Rhinolophus ferrumequinum: one gene and its partner. The protein of the gene in region 1 binds, or shares a complex with, the protein of each later gene. Links are inferred from orthologs where the notes say so. Each region holds a gene or a part of one and is shown on either strand. Other genes may lie near its edges.

Region 1 (10,227 bases):
GTAGGGCATATGAATTAATTAAAGACAAATAAATCTTAAGAGTTTTTCTGTGAAAAGCACACTTGCAATTGTATTTCTGAGGTAGAATACATTTTTAAAAAGGGAAACATTAAAATAAACTAATTTTATGATCCTGTTTTATTATTTCTTAATATAATAATATACTGGGAGCCTCAATAAATGAAGATGGCCAGGACTTCATTTGGTCTGAGGCCGGAGCCTGGCATCCTGGGACCTGATCCCCATTCTAATTCCGGTTGGCTCTGGCTCCACCTCTCTTCCCAGCAGCCAGTGGGCTCCTGTGACAACCCAGATCCGATCCTGTCAGCCCCTGCTTAAATGCTGCAGTTACTCTGCACTGCTCTTGGAATACAAACCCGGATTGAATTGGGCCTTCTGGGCCTCGCCTGGTGGCCCCCCACCTCCACAGCCTTTCCAGGCTGCCTGCCCCACCCTGCTCCTCAGCCCGTCAGGCATCCTGCTGCCTGGGACACCCTTTCCCTTCTTTCCCTGGTTGGTTTCTCCTCACTTTTCAGCCCACGCCACATTTCCTCAGGGAAGCCTTCCCTCAGGCCCCAGCCTACGTCAGGCTTCTTCGTTTATCTCCCTCATAGAATTCTGTCTCTTCCTTCAGAGCATGTTATCTCTGCACAATGACACATTTATTAGTGTGATCATTTAATTAATGCCTAGCAGGTACACTCAGTGTGGAAAGTTCCTTTTTATTTCTCACTGTTGTGGCCAGAGCCTTGCAAAGGACAGAATGGATGAATGGGGAGGCCACCTTCCCGGCTGCTCCTTGTGGGTCATGCTTTGGGAGGGAAGCCTTTCACACATGATCCATGAGAAAGCAGGTCACCAGCACCACAGAGAGAAGTACGGCTTTAGAGGAGACATCTGAGGGTCAGAGATGCAGCTACAGCCCACTAAATTTTAAGTCCTATAGTTACATGTCACAATGTGGAAATTTCCTTTAAGTTCGGGAGAGAAAAAAATTATTTATGTTTAACAACTTGGGCATTTTTAGAGGAATTGATAAGCAAATTCCTCAATGAAATTGATATTTAACCAAGCATATAACCAAGTCCTTTGCTCCTTACTAGAATAATCAACAGCTGTCAATAATTTACTGGTAAAGGTGCCCATGGATTCTCTTAATGAATTAGGGATAAAGCAATTGAATATAAACTAGGTGAAATAAAAACCATGAATGAATACATCGACACACGAGTTATTGTTGTTTGCAATTTATTGTGCTTGAAAAGTAATTTTATTTTAGAAGTTTACATGTACTATGGAGCAATTAATCACATATGAAAAAACCCGGAACGCCCTCAGATAAGTCACTGAAATGCTTCCAGAAAATTGAGGTGACTAGTCGTCCAAATGACTTCCCTTTGTATTATTATACATGACCTCAAATATGTTTACTTTCCAAGTTTAATATTTCTGAGGAACTAGAGTGGAGTTATCTATAAGGTGCCTTTTTCCAAGCAGCGGGTTATCAGTGACAGAAGCTGAACAGGTGATTATATGACATGATATAGGAGAGAATATTGAAATACACTAATAGGTACTCAATAAGTGATTCTCATGAAGGCAAAATGAATGAGGACAATACTGGGAAGAAAATGAAAGAAATGCCATTGAACACACATTTGTCTAAGTTACAGAACATTTCTCAACTAGGCTATAATAAAAATATTTATTACACATTATTCAAAATGTGGACAGTCTGGTAGAAGATAAAAAGTACAATGTTCTAAAATGTAGTAAGGTGTTTCTTCATTTATTTCACTGGCGTTGCTATCTTTCTAGGGATTTTGGAGAGAAATTGTAACAGTCTAATGTTAACTTTGACCTAAGGTTCTGGAAGTCTAGCTCCAACAATGGTGGGTTCCCAGGGGCATGTTAGAGCCATCTGAGGTTGAAGATTACGGCGAGGTGTCCACTGATGGCAGCCAACAAGACACAGCCACAGGGAAAGCTGTTGGGTGGGAAGTCCGAGCCTGCTTCTTGACTGGCCACGTCCTCCATGATGTTTCAGGGCAGCCTTTATTATGTTTTAGGGTAATTGGTTATCTCCCCTATTGAGAACAGGATCAAGGTAGTACTTACCTTTTTTATTCTCAGGGCATGTCATAGATTCTAGATAATTTTTTTTGTGAGTAAGTGTAGTTTTTCCCCAATCAGTTTTATTATCCCCACTATTATATTCTTTCTAAGTACAATAGTGCTACTGATCATCAGTCCCCAGTTTTTTAAATTACTGTTGCCTAGATCTTTTTCAAATCCTAGTTGTTTTGCATCCCAAAGTTATGGGCCACTGTTAATATGCATAGTTGTTTCAAATCAAATGTATATCCCGTATCTTGCACTAACTCAGTTATTCACTGCTAAAGTAAATCAGAGAAGTGAAAAGGACAATTGTTTAGTGCTTTTTAAAGTGCCTGACCAAGATCAGTAGGGAAATCCCATTAGCTCCATTCATCGCATTTCTCATAAATCTAAAAGGAAAGCAAGTATCCAAAGCCTTATTCTTTAATAGTTCTTATTTGTAAAACCTTGACAGGGCTTTATTCTAAATTGCTTCCAAATTATGTAAAGCATACTGAGAAATATGATGGGTAGTGAATCGTGATAGTTTCAGTTATCGAATAAATAACCAGAACAGTAAAAGGGGACTAATCTGAAAACAAACAGTGTGATGGGCTCTGATGAGGCAAAAAGAACAGAACTGTGGCATTCTTAAACTATCATCTGGCTCAATCCTCTTGAAGTGGGCAAGTCCAACAGTCCTTTATTCAGCGCCCTAAAACTTTTCAAAAAGCAGCAGTATTTGAATATTAATTTTTCATATAATTAAAAAAAGCCAAACAAACCCCAAACCCTTTTTGTAGCCAAAAGTAATGTTTAGCAAAACAACGGATAATCCTCTGGCTGCACACGAGGGCATGGGGCAACCTGTGGGTGGGAGGTCCGCTGTAGGCACCGTCACTCGGCAGCTTCCGGCCCTTCACCTCTGCGGCTTCTTGTGGCTGGAGAAACTTATTAAAGTTGTCATCATGATTTGAAGTTTAGTCAAGAGGTGTAAAAATTAGGAATTCATTACGAAAAATAAATGCGGTGATTTTTACTACCTTTTTTTAAATTAAAATATAAATGTTGAATTGCCATATATGATTATTGAAGCAAGCCACACAGTAGAAATCATGATGTATAGTTCAAATTGTGCTTTTGTGAAATGTGAACCTATTTCATCACTTTCTGACAGGCCCCCAATAATTGCCGTTTTGTTTATTAAGTCCTGGATTTTTAAATGAAACTGTAAGAGGCTTTGATTTTGTTTTCCTGAGGTGTGTTTGAAAAGTATAGGTTGAATATCTTCAGCAAGATGCTTTTTAAAAGGTATTTTAGCAGTCTCTGTGGTTTAAAAGACAAAACCAAGTCCTGCCGGCTTTGTGTTGTGCTTCTCTTACAGACTGCAGTGCCTTCTGTCTGCTTTAGGGTGTGGCATCTGCCATTGGGGAGGACAAACTGGCATGTGTCTCCTTTTATAGCAGACTGATTTCATTGTGCTGGGGCCTCTATTTCATAGCCTCTTGGTTCCAATCTTCTAGATGACTTGCTGAAGCAAATGGAATTAAAAGAGATTTTGACTTATATACCTTTTTTTGGTTTCATTTTTCTATATGAAATATTTTTAAGAAATGGGCCAGAACTGAACTTGGTGACTCATTTTCCCTTTTAGAATTAGTTTTTAAAAATAAGCCAGAAATATGGCTACACTTGTATGAATTGACTTGGATATATTTTATTGGTTTGAAAAAATGTACTGTTATGATTGTATGTATATATTTAGTTTGACTATAAATGTCTAAATGCATACATATGTAATTCATTTTAGAATATATGTATATACACACATACACAAAACATATATTTATATTTGCATACGAAAAACTTAAAAATTCAACTTATGTAGTATTATATATATACATATATATACACATATATATGTGTATATATAATTAGTATGTACTGTATTTGAATATATAAAGGGAGAAAATCAGAAGAAAAATGTCAAAAAGGCCCACTGACAAAGATGTAGTAGTCTCTTGGCAAAAACTGATGAATGATTTGGCATGAATTCATCTTACAGTTCTGTTATTCTCTTACACAGGATGATATAACCCTGTTTTCCAGCTGCTTGCATAGAACTGCAATTTGTTGTTTCTATACTCTATATAATGACCCTTGGGTGTGCATTTGATTCCCTCCCCCCATTAGTCACCTGTTTTTCCCATCTATCCTTTTCTATTTAGTCACATAACATATTGACACTTGGTCAAGCAAACAAAAATAACTACTGCACTTGAAATAAACTAAAATGGTCTTTTTGAAAAGCTGAAGAATGCAATCATTTTAGAAAACTACATTCTACCAAAATCATATATATTTCAGCTAGGGAGACCTCATCAAAGCTCTGGTTTCAAATGCTTTCTCTCCACGAAAACTGAGTCCACACTAGTACAACTGAGCCATTGCTTAGGTTAAGAATTCCTGCTATTGAAGCAATTCAAGGTGTTACTAGGTGATAAATTAACAATAAAAACACTTAAGACATCATAAAGTGATAAAACAATAGATAGTACTTTTTAAAGAACAAAGTATGAAACATTTCTACTCTAGGATTAGATATGACCAATTTATATTATGTTTGATCTTATGTTTATTAAACATAACATGTATTTCTTTTAGTTTTGTTTCCAATTGCCTAGAAACGAACTCATATCAAAAGGGTTAATTGAGCACATTAACCTCTGAAATATGGTGAAAAGCATCATATAGGTTTATGAAGTTATGGGATAAACCTTAGCTGTTGCTATTTATGACCGTTAAAATTTCCATGTGTAAGTTGTTTGGAGCATAACACACAACTCTTCATACTTTCCTTTTAGAGAGGACAAGTGCATTGTAAGAAAGACGCTCCTTTGGGAATACTTTGAGTTTTCACTGATAAGCCTACATACATATATAAGGACGCTTAAAATATAGTTATATCAACATTATCTTTGGGGCAGGTGCAGTCAATCATAAGCATTTATTGAGTACTTGCTGTGTACAGAGCACAGTGCTCCTCCGATTCGGCTAAGGATCACTTAAACTCTCCTAATTTTGCAGTTTGAAGAAGTGGGAATTATGCTGATGGCCCGAAATCAAGGCACAGAGGCTAACACTGAAAAATTACGTAACTCCTGGGAGAGACAGTCCTTTTGCACCGATTGCCCAAATATTTTCTTTCTCCGTCGGCTCCTCGTACGTAACCTTTGAGGCCAACAGACAACTTTGTTCCCCAGCCCTTCTCCCTCTTTTGTCTGCTCGTCAGACTCGTTTTCCACCTTTGTATCGTTCCTTTTAGACGTGAAAACAAACACGCGAACGCCCGGTTGGCAAGGAGACGGAGGCACGAGGGGGAAAGTGCAGCCTTCATCCGCCCCACGCCGCCGCGCTCCGGGCGCCTGCGGAGCGGGCCCAAGCCCTAGGGCCCGGGCCCGCCGGGTGCCCGGGAGGCTGCGCCCAGGCGGGCGGGCGGCGGGCGCAGGGCCCGGCGGGCGGCGGCGGCCCACCGAGTCCAGTCCACGTTTTGCGAGTGCACACGAGTAATCAGAGAGAAGTGGATAATAGTTGCTCGGGCTCGCTCGGCTCCCTCTCATGCCATGCTGGGCCCAATAGGCTCAACCAGTCGTGTATTTACCCATATCCGGGTTAGAGAGGAAAAGAGAAAAGTTTCATTTAAACCTGAACTCAAAACTTTCACCATGAAATCACACAGCGGGAACAGGCCCAGACCGTAAGGCGTGACTCCCGGTTCGGCTCCGGCGGGGCCTGTGGAGGGGGAGGGGGCTCACTCGATCCCCGTCGGGGCGTGTGGATGCGCACAGGAGGGGCCGCGGACTAAAAAGTGGGTTTTATTGTCTCCCCCCGCCCCCCGCCCGGCCTCGCCACGCCGCGGCGATCATGGCCGCGCGGGCAACAGCGGCAGCGGCGGCGCGGGCGCGGGCGGGCAGCGGCGAGCGGCGGGCGCCCCCCGGGCCGCGGCCGGCGCCCGGGGTCCGGGACCTGGAGACGGGGGCGCGCGGCGCGGCGGCGGCGGCACCGGGACCCACGCTGGGGGGCGGCGGCGGCGGCGGCGGCGACGGCGGCAGCCTGAACAGTGTGCACCACCACCCCCTGCACCCCCGTCACGAACTGAACATGGCCCATAACTCGAGCGCGGCGGCCGCTGCCGCCAGCACTAACAGCGCCAAGAGCGGCGGATCCGAGGCGGCTCTCAAGGAGGGTGGAAGCGCCGCCGCGCTGTCCTCCTCCTCCTCCGCGGCGTCCTCCTCTTCCTCCTCGTCGGGCCCGAGCTCGGCCATGGAGACGGGGCTGCTCCCCAACCACAAACTGAAAACCGTTGGCGAAGCCCCCTCCGCACCGCCCCACCAGCAGCACCACCAGCACCACCATGCCCACCACCAGCACCACCATGCCCACCACCTCCACCACCACCACCACGCATTACAGCAGCAGCTAAACCAGTTCCAGCAGCAGCAGCAGCAACAGCAGCAGCAGCAGCAACAGCAGCAGCAGCAGCAGCAACATCCCATTTCCAACAACAGCAGCCTCGGCAACGCGGGCGGCGGCGCGGCTCAGCCCGGTCCCGACATGGAGCAGCCGCAACATGGAGGCGCCAAGGACAGTGCCGCGGGCGGCCAGGCTGACCCCCCTGGCCAGCCTCTGCTGAGCAAGCCGGGCGACGAGGACGACGCACCGCCCAAGATGGGGGAGCCGGCGTGCGGCCGGTACGAGCACCCGGGCCTGGGCACCCTGGGCGCGCAGCAGCCGCCGGTGGCCGTGCCCGGGGGCGGCGGCGGCGGCCCCGCAGCCGTCTCGGAGTTTAATAATTACTATGGCAGCGCTGCCCCTGCTAGCGGCGGCCCCGGCGGCCGCGCTGGGCCTTGCTTTGATCAACATGGCGGACAACAAAGCCCCGGGATGGGGATGATGCACTCCGCCTCAGCCGCCGCCGGAGCCCCCAACAGCATGGACCCCCTGCAGAACTCCCATGAAGGGTACCCCAACAGCCAGTACAACCATTATCCGGGCTACAGCCGGCCCGGCGCGGGCGGCGGCGGCGGCGGCGGCGGAGGAGGAGGAGGCAGCGGAGGAGGAGGAGGAGGAGGAGGAGGAGGAGGAGCGGGAGCGGGAGCGGGAGCTGTGGCGGCGGCGGCCGCGGCGGCGGCAGCAGCAGCAGCAGCAGGAGGCGGCGGCGGCGGCGGCGGCGGCTATGGGGGCTCGTCCTCGGGGTACGGGGTGCTGAGCTCCCCCCGGCAGCAGGGCGGCGGCATGATGATGGGCCCCGGGGGCGGCGGGGCCGCGAGCCTCAGCAAGGCGGCCGCCGGCGCGGCGGCGGGGGGCTTCCAGCGCTTCGCCGGGCAGAACCAGCACCCGTCGGGGGCCACCCCGACCCTCAACCAGCTGCTCACCTCGCCCAGCCCCATGATGAGGAGCTACGGCGGCAGCTACCCCGACTACAGCAGCCCCAGCGCGCCGCCGCCGCCGCCGTCGCAGCCCCAGTCCCAGGCGGCGGCGGCGGGGGCGGCGGCGGGCGGCCAGCAGGCGGCCGCGGGCATGGGCTTGGGCAAGGACATGGGTGCCCAGTACGCCGCCGCCAGCCCGGCCTGGGCGGCCGCGCAACAAAGGAGCCACCCGGCGATGAGTCCCGGCACCCCTGGCCCCACCATGGGCAGATCCCAGGTAACCCCCGCGCCGGCCGGGCCTGCTTCCGCCGCGGCCTCGGCGCGCGCCGCGAGCCCTAGTTTCTTTCTTTCCGCGTACTTTTTCTGCGTCTTCTGTCGGGGGAGGTGGGGGTGAGGCGCCCAAAGCCATTTTAAGTGGTGGACGCCTCCCTTAGAGTCTGGGGAGCGCACGGTGTTCGAGTGCGCGGCCCGGGGGCCTGGCGAGGGGGTCTGGCCGAGGGCCGGGCCGGGCGCTGGCACTGCCGGCGGCCGAGCACCCCGCCTCGCCACCCCACCCCAGGCCCGAGCCGCGCGTGCCGGAGTCGGGGACTGCGCCGCCAGCCAGCCGTGTGGGCGCTGGGGACGGTCCGGCGGCTTTTGTAACCAGACCGGCGCTCCGGCCACTGTGGTCTGGGCAAGAATATTAACCTCGTCTTCTCGGTTAGCGCCAACAATAAGCATTAACTGGGAAAAGAACGAGGAACTTTGTCCTACCTCCAGCCACACCACGTTCTCTTTCGGCTTCCAAGGTGAAGGCAGGAAAAATAGGTTAGCTTTGTGGTAACCGAGTGTGGTTTTCGGAGTTATGCCCAGCCATTCAGAGATAATTCGATGCGGGCTTTGAGTTGGAATATTTACTAGCAAAAATAATACCCAAATGTACAACGATGTGAGGTGAAATATTCTAAAATATATCGATTCATTCCTAAGAAGAGCCAGGAAATCCATTATTTGGCTTACGGGCTGCTTGGAAGGAGTCACCTTCAACAGATAGGCTATGTTAAAGGAACACAGTCCGGTTACATTGAACTTATTTTGATCATGGATTTGGCATACATTTTATTCAGCAAGTCCAGGAAAATAGCAGGTCAGTGAAAATTGATCATTTTGGATAGGATTTATAAGGATTTTCTTTAATTTGCTGTCACCCAAGTCCCGCAGCGTTATTAGGAAGTGTCCTGCACTCTTGCCGCTTCTTGCTCGTAGGCTGAGCCTAAAGACTGACTTGATCTCCTTTGCAAGGTTTGGAATTTGAATTGTGGAGGTAAACTGGCTGTAATAGTCTCCAGACAGCTGCCTCTGAGTTGACATCTAATCTGCCATCTGATTGGCTCCCCTCTCACCATTGGGCATTTAGCACTGCTGATGTAAATAGTGCTGAGCAGTACAGTCACAAAATTCTTGCCACAAATAATAACTGAGCTCTATTACAAGCAGATGTAAGGTTGAATGTTATTTAAAGCTTAAATTATTGTGAATCGTATTTATTAGTAAGAGAATTAAATACATGAAAACGTTACACTGGTGTCCAGTATTCGGCATTGACAAAATTCAGATCTTTGGTAATCCTAACATGGACATTGCATGTGTCACAGCCCTTGACTGTAGAGTGAGGAGATGGCAGTTAGAAGATAATTAAAGGATTTTTACCAAATTGGGGGTTTGTTAAGCTTTATAAAAATAGGCTTTATAGATTAAACTATAAAAAAATTTGCATTATGTCATCAGACATAGTTTATTATAAATTTAAAAGTTATACTATTAAAAATTTCAAGATTCTGATATACAACAATACCTTTCAGTGAAATTTAATTAGCTTTATAACAAGATTAAAGCTGTATTTCTAGTCATTTGTTTTTAACAATTCTGACCATTTTGTTTATGGATGAGATGTTTTAGTTAGAATTGACATTATATTTAAAAAACATGAAGAGAAAACTATATAATGTTTGCAGAGAACAATTAGTTAAAAGGAAAAAATGGATAGTCTTGTGAAATACTAAAAGTCATTTTATATTTGCTTCTGATTTGGAGAATACAGAAATGCCCCAAGAACCTTTTTTTCCCTTGATTATTTTGTTAGATTAGCTAATGTGAGCCTTATTTGAACTGTTTACACAATGAATTAGGGAAACTATATTACATTTAAGTTATGTTGGGTGTGTTTCTTCCAAATAATTTGTTTTTCATAGACATTTTCATGCTGTGAAAGGTTTTATATTTTTAATCTGTTTGAAAGGAATAACATTGTTTGTAATGTATTTTTCTACTCAGCTCATTTATTTAGGAAGGTGTATTTTAATAATAATCATATCTTAGAGGAAAGACTTGTCTGAGTCAGTGAAGGACTGAATTTAACAGATAATCATGTGACTCCCAGGCTGAGGACGTTTGTGTCCACTGCTTTCAAATCTTTAGTTAGTGGAGTTTTACTTTTAATGATAATATATATTTTCCTATTATTGATAGAAAACTTGCGATTTCAATTTTTATTTTTGATTCTCACAAGTAAAAACATACAGAAACCTTATGTAAATAAATCCATGTAATTAATTTTAAAACGATTTGCTTTGTCAGCTTGCTTTTAAAGGGACAGTTTAGAATTCACATCTTTGTAAACTAGAAATGAAAGGATGACAGACGCAGATGTAGGTCCATGTTA
Region 2 (10,256 bases), on another chromosome or scaffold:
GCACAGGTGGACCTCAGAGATATTGTGGATTCAGTCCCAGGCCACTGCAATAAAGTGAGCCACGTACACTTTTGGTTCCCCAGTGTGTATATTAGTTACATTTACACTGTACTGTAGTGCATTAAGTGTGCAATTGCGTTATGTCCCCAAAACCAATGTACTTACCTTCATTACAAAATCCTTTATTGCTAAAAATGCTGACCATCATCTGAGCCTTCAGCAAGTCCTAATCTTTTTGCTGGTGGAGGGTCAGCCTCGATGTTGATGAAAATGCAGTATCTACGAAGCGTAATGAAGAAAATGCCAGAAATGAGCCGTGTCTATATCAGAACTTGAAACACCTTGTCTGACCGAACAGGCAGTAAAAGTACCCATGAGCTGAGTGGTCTATAAACAGCAAGGTAGAAAGGGAGAGGAAAGCTTTCTCTCTGCTTAATGTGTTATAATGACTCGGTAATCCAGCACTAACACTGCCACGCTACACAGCACAGACATGGCAGTTGCAGCCCTGAAGATCGTCTCAGCAGGAGTTGTCAGTTGTCACCTTGGCCTTGGAAAAGAGTCAGTAATAACCAACCTGTGACATCCTTCCTGTTAAGCACTGTCCCTTCCTGGTGAACTTGCCGGGATTCATTAGTTGTAAAGTATACTGCCTCCTGTCTGAACTGACGGCCTCGCAGACGGGGCTGTGTGTAAAGGAGAACTACCCCTTCCTCCGCGGCTGAGGCACCTGTGTGACTTGTTAGGCACTATTATAATCAAGCACTTCTGCGCACCCCTACCGTAGCCCGGAGCATTAAGTACTAAAATGTTACCTATGATTATGCGCTTTGACATCTCAGAAGTACCTTAGTTTTGCTCTTTCTCTTGCCCACATCCCAACCCCATATATATTTAGCTGTGACATTTATAGACTGTAATTTTTTTGAAGTGCTTCCAAATGAATTTCCGTCACTAGAAATCCGAACATCCCCTAATCTGACCCACTGCTTCTCAAAGCCTTTTACTGCAGGCTACTGGACTCCCTTTCTTTACGTGCTTCTAGAATCCTTCCATATGCCCAGATGCACTGTGTTTCTTACCTCTCCACCGGCCTGCCTTTTCCCTGAGGACAGTCCCACTGAAAGCTGCTTTTTCTCTCAGGGCCAGGAGGTGGGTAAGGTGGCCCTTCTGACCTTAGAGCATCTAGCAGCTGGGAATTTAAATATCCGGATATACAGCCCTTCACCTCTGTGTATCACCCGGGCCTCTAGTCCCTTGGCTTGTTCCTTCTCATCACCTGGAGACTTGATTTACCAGATCACAAGCTTCATCTCTACTCGGCTCCTGCCATCATTCTTTGTGACTTCAACTTCCATGCAGATAATCACCAACAAGGCAGTCCCCGCTTCATGCGCTCTGATACGCACACATCTAGTTACCACAGTCCATTAGTAAAACACCAGTTCCCCAACACCATGCTTCGACTTTCAGTCACCACCGTGTATTACCTGTGAGTGATTTGGGAAGGTCCAAACTCCACAGCTAACTCTAGTCCACACATCCTTATGTAAATAACAGATGGCTTCATGATCCTTTTTCCAAGTCTGTCAGTCATTGGTCATGGCACATCTGTTACTCAGCTCAGTTCACAACACAGCAGAGCTTGTGGTTGTGTTGTCTCCTTGTCTCCCAGTGATGTGATGTTTACAGAAATGGGCCAATAAAAGGGATTGGCCAGAAAAGAAAAGTGCATCAAAGAAATAAGAAGTGACGATGCTGGAAATGAGTTGAATGTGATTAGGACATTTGAAAATGACAACAGCAAAGCCTAGATAGGATGACCGCTATGCCTGGCTGATGGTACTGTAGGAACCACAGGGAGAAAAGCCAGTGAGCAGAAAAAGCAAGGTCAAGTCGTGTCAACATTTTTTTAGTTTAAATTGCTCTCAGAACAGAAACCCATGTATGTAGAGAAAGACCTTCCTCTTTGGATAGAAAACTGGAATAAAATAAAATTCCCAGTCTGGCTAGCGAGCACACAGGAGCCAAGTGCTGTAGTTGCCATGTTGAAAAAAAACTCATTACAAAGGGACTGAAAAACCACCTTTTCCTGCCAGTAAAGCTGCTTCTGTCACTTTATAAGTCGACGTGAATTAATATTGAGCTACCTGGGAAGCTGCTAGCTCCAGTCAGGGTGCTGCTGTGACTTCAGATGAGTGAGAGCAAGCAGTTGTGGCGAAAGGATGAAGATGTCCAGAGGAAGAGAAACTGGTAACAACTTCACTTTAAAGAAACTCTTGGAGATACTTTACAGCATTGAAAATGCAAAACAAAATGTTGGAAACTACCCAAGCTCAGAAAAAAAAGTATGACAACGTATCAAGATATAGAAAATATAAGTCATAGGATGGGCAGAAGGCAAGCACACTTCAAACTACTCTTGGAAAACTGTTTACAAAGAAAATAATTCTCAGTGTTTCTCATGTTCTAAATTGCAGTGTGCTCAGTACATGTAAGTTTCACAATCAAAAACATTCCATATACATTTATAATTGGCAGTAAGGGAGTTTGATGTTTTAACAAAAGTTTTTTTAAAGTCATAGAACAATTGCAATTTTTCTCTTTGATTCTTAAAATTGCTTTGCATGATTGTGGGTTCTGTGGTCATTCTTATAGTCCTGTGGCATCCGGCAAAGCTGGGACTCTAGCTTCTCAGTTCCTTGACTAACTCACGCTCAGTGACCTTTTCCTGTAGCTCACCTGGGTTCACCCTGTAGACCTTGTGATTATCAAAGTCAATTTGACCTCTGAACTTGCAATTCCAAGCAGGTTATTCTCATGCAATTATTTCCTGTCCTTCCTGCTCACCACTTGTAGTACCTGAAGACAGCCACTCTTCAATCTTATTGAAATCTCCAATTCATTACCTTCCCCCACTATTACTAGTCCTCTTCTTGTCCTTGGTCATCTCAGCTGTCATGGCCCATCAGTATAATCACTGCCTTACAAACACACTCCAGGTCCCTTTGCCTCTTTTCTTCACCTGGGAAAACCCCTTCCTGAATGGACCCTATTACCCACTTGACTAGCTTGAATTCAAGTAGCTAAACTTGACTGAGAACATTGGAAAACTAGACTGACTGGTTGCACTTTTAACTCATGACCCCAAACCTCCAGAGGGCAAACCACTTGGCATCCTGGAAACTGCTCTTCTACTGTCTACACCTTCTTTCTCCTCCAACTCTCTGTATCCCTCCTTCCCACTCGCTTTCAGCTGATGATCTCACCTCATACTTTATTAAGGAAAGAGAAAGTATCAGAGGAAAATCCTTCAGGTTTTCCACCAGCAAATCTCTAACCCTACTTCCATCTGCAGCCGCATTATGTGTCCCTTCTGTGCCGAGGGATGGACCAGCCCGCTCCCAGCAGCCGTGTCCTCTCTCTCCTGTCGCCATGACTCGCCCTCTTACTGAGTCATTCTTGTCGGCATGGTGCCTCCCATCTTCAAAACATGACCCACCCCTCTACCCTTTTTCTCTGCCATTACTCTTTGCAATCATACTGCTTCCTATACTCTGGCTACAGTCCCTAGCCTCCTATTGCTTCCTTAATTGACTTCAATCTAGTTTTGAAACTGCCACTCCACTGAAATAACCTTGAAGGAATTAAGGTTGCTCCTTATCCCCAAATTGCTAAACACAGCGGGCATTTCTCTGTCCCCTAACTCAACTTCTCAATTGACATAGTTGACCAGTCCCTCTTTTTGAAACACTAGCCTCGCAGCTTACGGTACTCAACTCTTAGTTTTCTTCCTTCTCTATTTCCATGTATGTCTCTGGATTTCTTGGTCTCTGGCCTTTTTCTCACCTGTATCTACATATTCTAAGTGGTCTCATACAGTTTTTTGCCTTTTTCTCTTTACCACTGTATTGCTAGTGCCTAACTCAGGGCCTAACTCGATAAATAGTAAGGTAGTATTTGATAAACAAATGAGTGAACACATGATTCTTTGTATTTCTATCACCTAACATACGGTAGTTCTTAGTTCATAGTTGGTTTCCATTAACTATTTGTGAAATAATTGAGTGGACATTATTCCAATCCTACAGATGAGGAAACAAGAGGGTCAGAGCATAAATAATGTATCCGTGATCACACAGCTAATCAGTGGCACAGCTGCCATTCAAACTAAAGTCTTATTTTCAAATCTTTGTTCTCGTCATTACATCATATTGCCTCCCTGCATATTTATCTCTAACTCCTAGACTCTGCCTTCATTTACCCTATTCTCAAGCCAAATTCAATGACTGATGTACCTGAATATGGCATGTGTCCTATTTTCCCAGCTCTCAGTCTTTTGGGGCTTGAGACCCTACTTCCAGTTCCAATTGTACATTTTCCTGTAGCTGTCCAACCAATCTCTTAGGATACTTTTCAAATTCCAAGTCAACCCTGACATCTTAATTTTTCTAGTTGCAAGTAAATTTTCTCCCACTTAAAGCTCCTTTTGTGTATTTGTATCCTATTCTTCCAGCATTGAAATACCTACAGGCAGCGATTGTAATCCACATAGTGACTCCTTAATGTTCTGCCTTGCCTTGGTGGAAAGGCCAAATTCGTAATTGTTGATTTGGAATGAAGAGTTTTAAATTTTATTTGAGCTAGAGACAGAATTCCCAAGGGAGAAGAGTAGAACCGAAAAACAATATATATATATATACATTAAATTCTCCAGAGAGTCTGACTGAGAGCCTTCATCAATTAAGAGAATTTGGAGAAAGATGCTGATTCTTGGCCGATCAAGACACTGAAGGGTCATTTTCTGTAGTGGACTCTTGGTAGTGAAATGGGGAATTGAGAAAGCAAAGTCTAGATTAGGAGCAGTCTGTGAGACTGAAGTTGTTGTCGATGCCATTTGTGACCGGGTGCAAGTGGGGTCAGGAAAGGGTGGGCTCAGAGAGTCAAAGTAGGCTGTTTGTGCTATGTCATGGGCTAGAAGTAATCCCTTTGTTTTATGTTTCCAAACTTGTCCGCTGAGTGTAAGCAAAAATAATGAACGAAAAGGAAGCCATATTGAGCTCTAAATCCAAGAACATTCTCTATTGTCCCGAAACAAGTCTTGTACTTTCTAAGATAATAAAGTGTCTGCTGAGGGATCAACTTTAACAAATTTCTGGCACCCTTGTCATCTTATCACAGCTGTCTGCCATGTGTTGAGGTTCAGTTCCTGAGTTTTTAAAAAATTTTGGTGAAGTTGTAGACCTGACGGGGTGAAGCCTAAGAACTAGGATTAGGAGTAAACTCAGTTCCAATAAAACAGCTCCAATTTTCTTGGTGCCTTTCATGGGCCTATCATGTACTATGCATGCCCCTTACAATAATCCCGGAGACTCGGGTTTTTCTCCCCTTAACAGGTGGGAAAAGAGGTTAAATGAGTTGCCAAGGCTGGAATAAGCACCGGTGCCAGAAACCAAACATCAGTGTGGTTCCCAAACGTCCTGTGGCCTCTGCAGCAGTGTCCCCTGGCCGGTTGCCTTAGGAAGCTCCCTGCAGCCTCCTCGGAGCCACTGTCGGTCCTCGGTCCTCTACGGCAGGCCGTCCTGTTGTCTGTCATGCGAGCGCAGAGTCACACGCACGCAAGCTGAATTTCAGCAGCTTCTGCGGTTACTGGCTTCGGCCGCACTGAGGTGGACGTGATCAACTTTTCAAATGGAACCGGCTGCGGACGTCATTGGGTTGTGCACATGCACGGCAGGTGGTTCTGAGCAGCACAGCCAGGCTGAAGCGGAGGACAAAGGCAGGCGGGGCGGCCGCTGGGCAGGGGGCCGCGAGGCAGTGGGCAGGGACCTCTCAGCCCGCGGGACCCAGCGCACCGCGACCCGGCGTGGAGTGGGGGTCAGGACGCGGGACCCCGGGGGAGGGGGACGGGACCCCCGGGCACCGGGAGGGCGGGCGGGGCGGGGCGCGCGGCGGGCGCGGTGGGAGGAGAGGGCTGACGTGGAGGGGCCGGGCCGGGGGCGCGGGGAGGGCGGGGCCGGGCCGGGGGCGCGGCGGGAGGTGGGGCGGCGGAGCGCGGGGCTGCGGCGGGCGGGCGGGCGGGCCTGGGTGGCCGCGGCCCGGGGCGCGCGGGCTGAGGGAGCGGCGCGGCGGCGGCGGCTGCGGGCTGCGGGCTGCGGGAGCGGCGGGCCGAGGGCCGCGGGGCGGCTGAGGGCGGCGGGCGCGGGGGCCTCGGCCGGGGCCGAGGGCGGCCGGGCGGGCGGGCGGGCGGGCGGCGCGCGGCGCTGGCGGCGGCCATGGCGGTGGCGGCGGCGCTGGCGGGCCGCGGGGCGCGCGGCGGCAGGGGCCGGCCCCCGGGCGGCGGGCGGGCGGAGGGGGCGGGGCCCGGGCGGCGGGCGGCCCGCGCGGCGGCGGCGGCAGCGGCGGCGGCGGCCGGGACGAGGCGGCGGCGACGGCGGAGGCGGCGGCGCGGGGCGCTCGGGCTGATGGCGGCGGCGGCCGGCCCCGGGACGGCGCTGTCCCCGCGGCCGTGCGACAGCGACCCGGCCACCCCGGGAGCGCAGTCCCCGAAGGTGAGGAGGCGGCCGCTGGGCGAGCGAGCGGGCGGGCTGGACGCGGGGCCGGGGCGGGGGCCTGGGAGGCGCGGAGGCCGCAGCCTCGGACAGCGGCCGGGCCCCCGGTGCGCAGCCGGGACGGCCGCGGCCTGTTCCGCTTCCGCATCCTCCGCGCGTCGCGGCTCGTTTATAACCGCCGAGCGGCCGCCGGGCCGCGGCGGACACGGAAGTCAGGGAACTGGGCCGTCCGTGGGCCCGACACGCCGCGGGCCCCGAGCGCGCCCCGGGAGTTGTGAGGAGCGGCGGGGAAACGCGGCCCCTGGACACTCGGCGTCCTGGCGACTCCGCGGCGGCCCGAGAAGACGCCGTACTTGGCGGCGTCCGGACGTAACCGGACTTGGTGTCCCGGAGGCGACGCCGAGTGGACGAGACCACCAGGGGCCGCGGGACGCCGTGCGGTGCTGCGTGCTGGGACCAAGTTTGTAGTTTGTGACACAGGTTGGAACGGAGGCGTAATTTTAAGAACCTCAAGCCTTAAGTTGTTGAAAAGTTGAAATTAGATCCTGGGAGAGGACATTTGCGATGGATCCACCTCTTTCCTGAAGGACCGTGTCGCCGGGACCCGGGAAGGGTTTCGCTGGCGGGAGCGAGGCCGCCCTGCCCCGCGGCGCCCGCGCCCCGCGGTGGAGCGACGAGCCTGAGCCGCGCGCGGCGCGCAGCCTTGGAGCGGCTGGAGCCCGTCCCGGCTGCGGCGCTCGGGCCTGAAGCACCGGTGTGGAGAGACACTTAGGGGTGGACCACCTGTGACTCAGGGGCAAATGTCTGACCTAGTCAGGTGGCAGTCCTCAGACGTGGACTTTAGTGTCCCCATTTCTTAGCCAAGGGAAATGTACTTAAACACGTGGACATAAAAATTCTTCAAGTGCTCAGAAGCAAGCAAAATAGCAACACGTGATACCCGGATGCTTAAAAGGCATCATGCCTGAAGTATTGAATATGAAATGGTTCAATTGTGATACTTACTGTTAAATGTACATTTTTGGAGAATATTTAGACAGTTCTCCACATCCGAGCTGGCTGCTTGCCTTAGGAATATACAGAGCTCTTCCCACTGAATGCTTATTTTATAAGAATCAAAAAGGAGAAGGAAAATATTCTGCATCTTTTACTTTTTGGGATAGAATCAGAGTAAATTCCTTACAGCTGGGCCATTGGAGACTTCTAAATTGTCGTCGTCATCATCATCATCATCATCGTCGTATTAACTAACTTTTATTGGGCTCTTAATTTTTTTCTGGATCTTGCTTTTAAGTGCTTCCCATCTAGTAACTAATTTAATCCTTGTATTAGCCAAGCAACACAGGCACTATTCTCTCCATTTGACAGGTAAGGAGTGGCTCAAAGAGCATAACCGCTCAGCTAATGAAGGGCAGGGCCCAGACCCAGGCAGCCCAGCTTTGGCATGCCTGACCGACATGCCTTACTTACTACCTCTTTATCTTCTTCTGCAGGATGGCTTTGCTTTTAATACTTAGCAAGAGGACCCTGGTATTTAACGAAATTGTATTAATCTTAGTAAGCTACATTACTTTGATTTAAAACAATGTAAGCCTTCTAGTCATTAAGCCTTAGCTAATATGTAAATATATCAATTTCCTAACATTTGATACTTCACTCATTTCCTTAATGATCCAATTTACAGCCTTGATATTATAATCCCATAATGCATAATGTCACTTAAAAAATTTTAAGCCTCTCCTTTTTTGGGGGGGAGGGTTTTGCTTGATGACTATATAGATTGATGACTCTTATTAGGGTATATTATTGCTAAATGTTTACAATGTAAGAAAAAAATGGAACAAGACTGGTAATCTGTTTTTAGTCCTTGTATGTCTTTTCACAGGGATATAAGTACCTAAAATAGCCAATTAGTATAAACCAGGTGTGAGTCAAGTGAAACAGGAAATGATCCCTCCATATATTTTGTTCTTACCTGAGGTAAGAAGGTTTGCTCTAATTTTAGAGTTGCCGCAATTTTATGTTTGTTTAAACTAGAAGGCATTTTAACCTTAAGTGAGAAAGCAAAAGTAGATTTAGATTTATAGGTTAATTGAGTTTTTTACTTGTATGGAAGACCAGTTTTTAGTTTTTTCCAGGTCTTGCCCATGCCACATTCTGGGCTTCCTTTTAATTTTAATGGAAAGTTAGCATTTATATAACCAGCTGTGCTTAGAAAGTCTTCAAGTGCGCCTTTTAGCAAGTCTGAGAAGATACGTTCTTTACATATTAATCTTTCTCTTATTATTTTTTGAATCCTTTTAACGTATAGGATGATAACGAAGATAATTCAAATGATGGGACCCAACCATCCAAAAGGAGGCGAATGGGTTCAGGAGATAGCTCTAGGAGTTGTGAAACTTCAAGTCAAGATCTGGGGTACTGTCGTTTTATTGCTTAATAACATTTTTTGTGGTATGTTTCTCTTCTCTGCATTAGCTCTCCACTCCCCTCCCCCTAGCTCTAGTAAAAGCAGGTATCAAAAATTGTAGAATGTTTTTTCTCACATTTTACAGTATGACACCAAAGTTTGTTTTGCTTTCCATGCAATTGAGTGTTTTTTTTTTTTTAAGTTTTGCATAAAATTCACTATTTTAACTGTTTTTAAATGTGTAGTTCGGTGGCTTTAATTCATTCGTAATGTTGTGTATACCATCAGCACCATCCATTTCCAAAACTTTGTTGCTACTGAAAACAGAAACTCCACAACCATTAAGCACTAAAAATTCCCATTTCCCTCTTCCCTCAGCCCTGGCAATCACCACTTTACTGTTTGTCATTATGAATTTGCCTATTCTAGGTACCTTGTATAAGTGGAGTCATACAATATTTGTCATTTTGTGTCTGGCTTATTTCAGTTAGCATAATTCCTTCAAAGCTCATCCATGTTGTAGCATGTGTTAGAATTTTCTTCCTCTTTAAGGCTGAATTATACTCCATTGTATGGATGTACATTTGTTTATCCATTCGTCTGTTGATGGACACTTGGGTTGTTTCCACCTTTTGGATATTGTGAATCATGCTGCTGTGAATATTGGTGTATACATATCTGTTCAGAATCCCTGTTTTCTGTTCCTTTGGGTATACACCTAAGAGTGGAATAGCTGGATTATATGGTAATTTTATGTTTTCTACAGTCGCTGTGCCATTTTATATTCCTACCAGCATTGCACAAAGTTTCCAATTTCTTTCCATCCTTAGCAATTTGTTCTTTTCTGGTTTTTTTTTTTTTGTGTGTGTGTGTGTGTGATAGGAGTGAAGGGTCCAGTTTCATATTTTTGCGTTTGAATATCCAGTTTCCCAGCGCCATTTTTGAGAAAACTGTTCTTTTCGTTCGTTACTTTAAATTGGTTAGATATATGAAATAGTGTCACCTTCCTGCATCTATTACCCATTGATGAAATTTAGAGGTTGGATTGGTCCAGGTCCAGAAATTGGAGTCTTTGCTGTTCAGGATTGGGATTGATCTGGGATGCACTGGCACCATCAAACTGGGTCCATTCTTTGCTTCTGGGTTAATGGAGTCTGTCACAACACATAATTATGGTTTATAGTTTAATTCATTGGGAAATAGGTTTCTAGAGTTCTGCTTTCTCACCTTTGCGTGACTCACTGAACAGCAGATGGAGAACAAGTTACTTTAAACCCTGGTTGGATGAACTAGGG

The links. Proteins that work in one complex are often made in the same cells at the same time.
Region 2: ARID1B (region 1) and PHF10 share a complex: the UniProt entries of both Homo sapiens proteins name them as parts of the neural progenitors-specific chromatin remodeling complex. The link is inferred for Rhinolophus ferrumequinum from reciprocal best matches to the Homo sapiens genes ARID1B and PHF10.

What each region holds. Positions count from the first base shown.
Region 1 is NC_046286.1:98,772,152-98,782,378, forward strand, and holds the start of ARID1B (AT-rich interactive domain-containing protein 1B), read left to right. Parts: upstream 1-6,198; 5' UTR 6,199-6,258; coding exon 6,259-7,803; intron 7,804-10,227. UniProt on the Homo sapiens protein: Involved in transcriptional activation and repression of select genes by chromatin remodeling (alteration of DNA-nucleosome topology).
Region 2 is NW_022680354.1:2,534,943-2,545,198, reverse strand, and holds the start of PHF10 (PHD finger protein 10), read left to right. Parts: upstream 1-6,420; 5' UTR 6,421-6,464; coding exon 6,465-6,551; intron 6,552-7,281; exon of another isoform or gene 7,282-7,919; intron 7,920-8,862; coding exon 8,863-8,969; intron 8,970-10,256. UniProt on the Homo sapiens protein: Involved in transcription activity regulation by chromatin remodeling. Belongs to the neural progenitors-specific chromatin remodeling complex (npBAF complex) and is required for the proliferation of neural progenitors.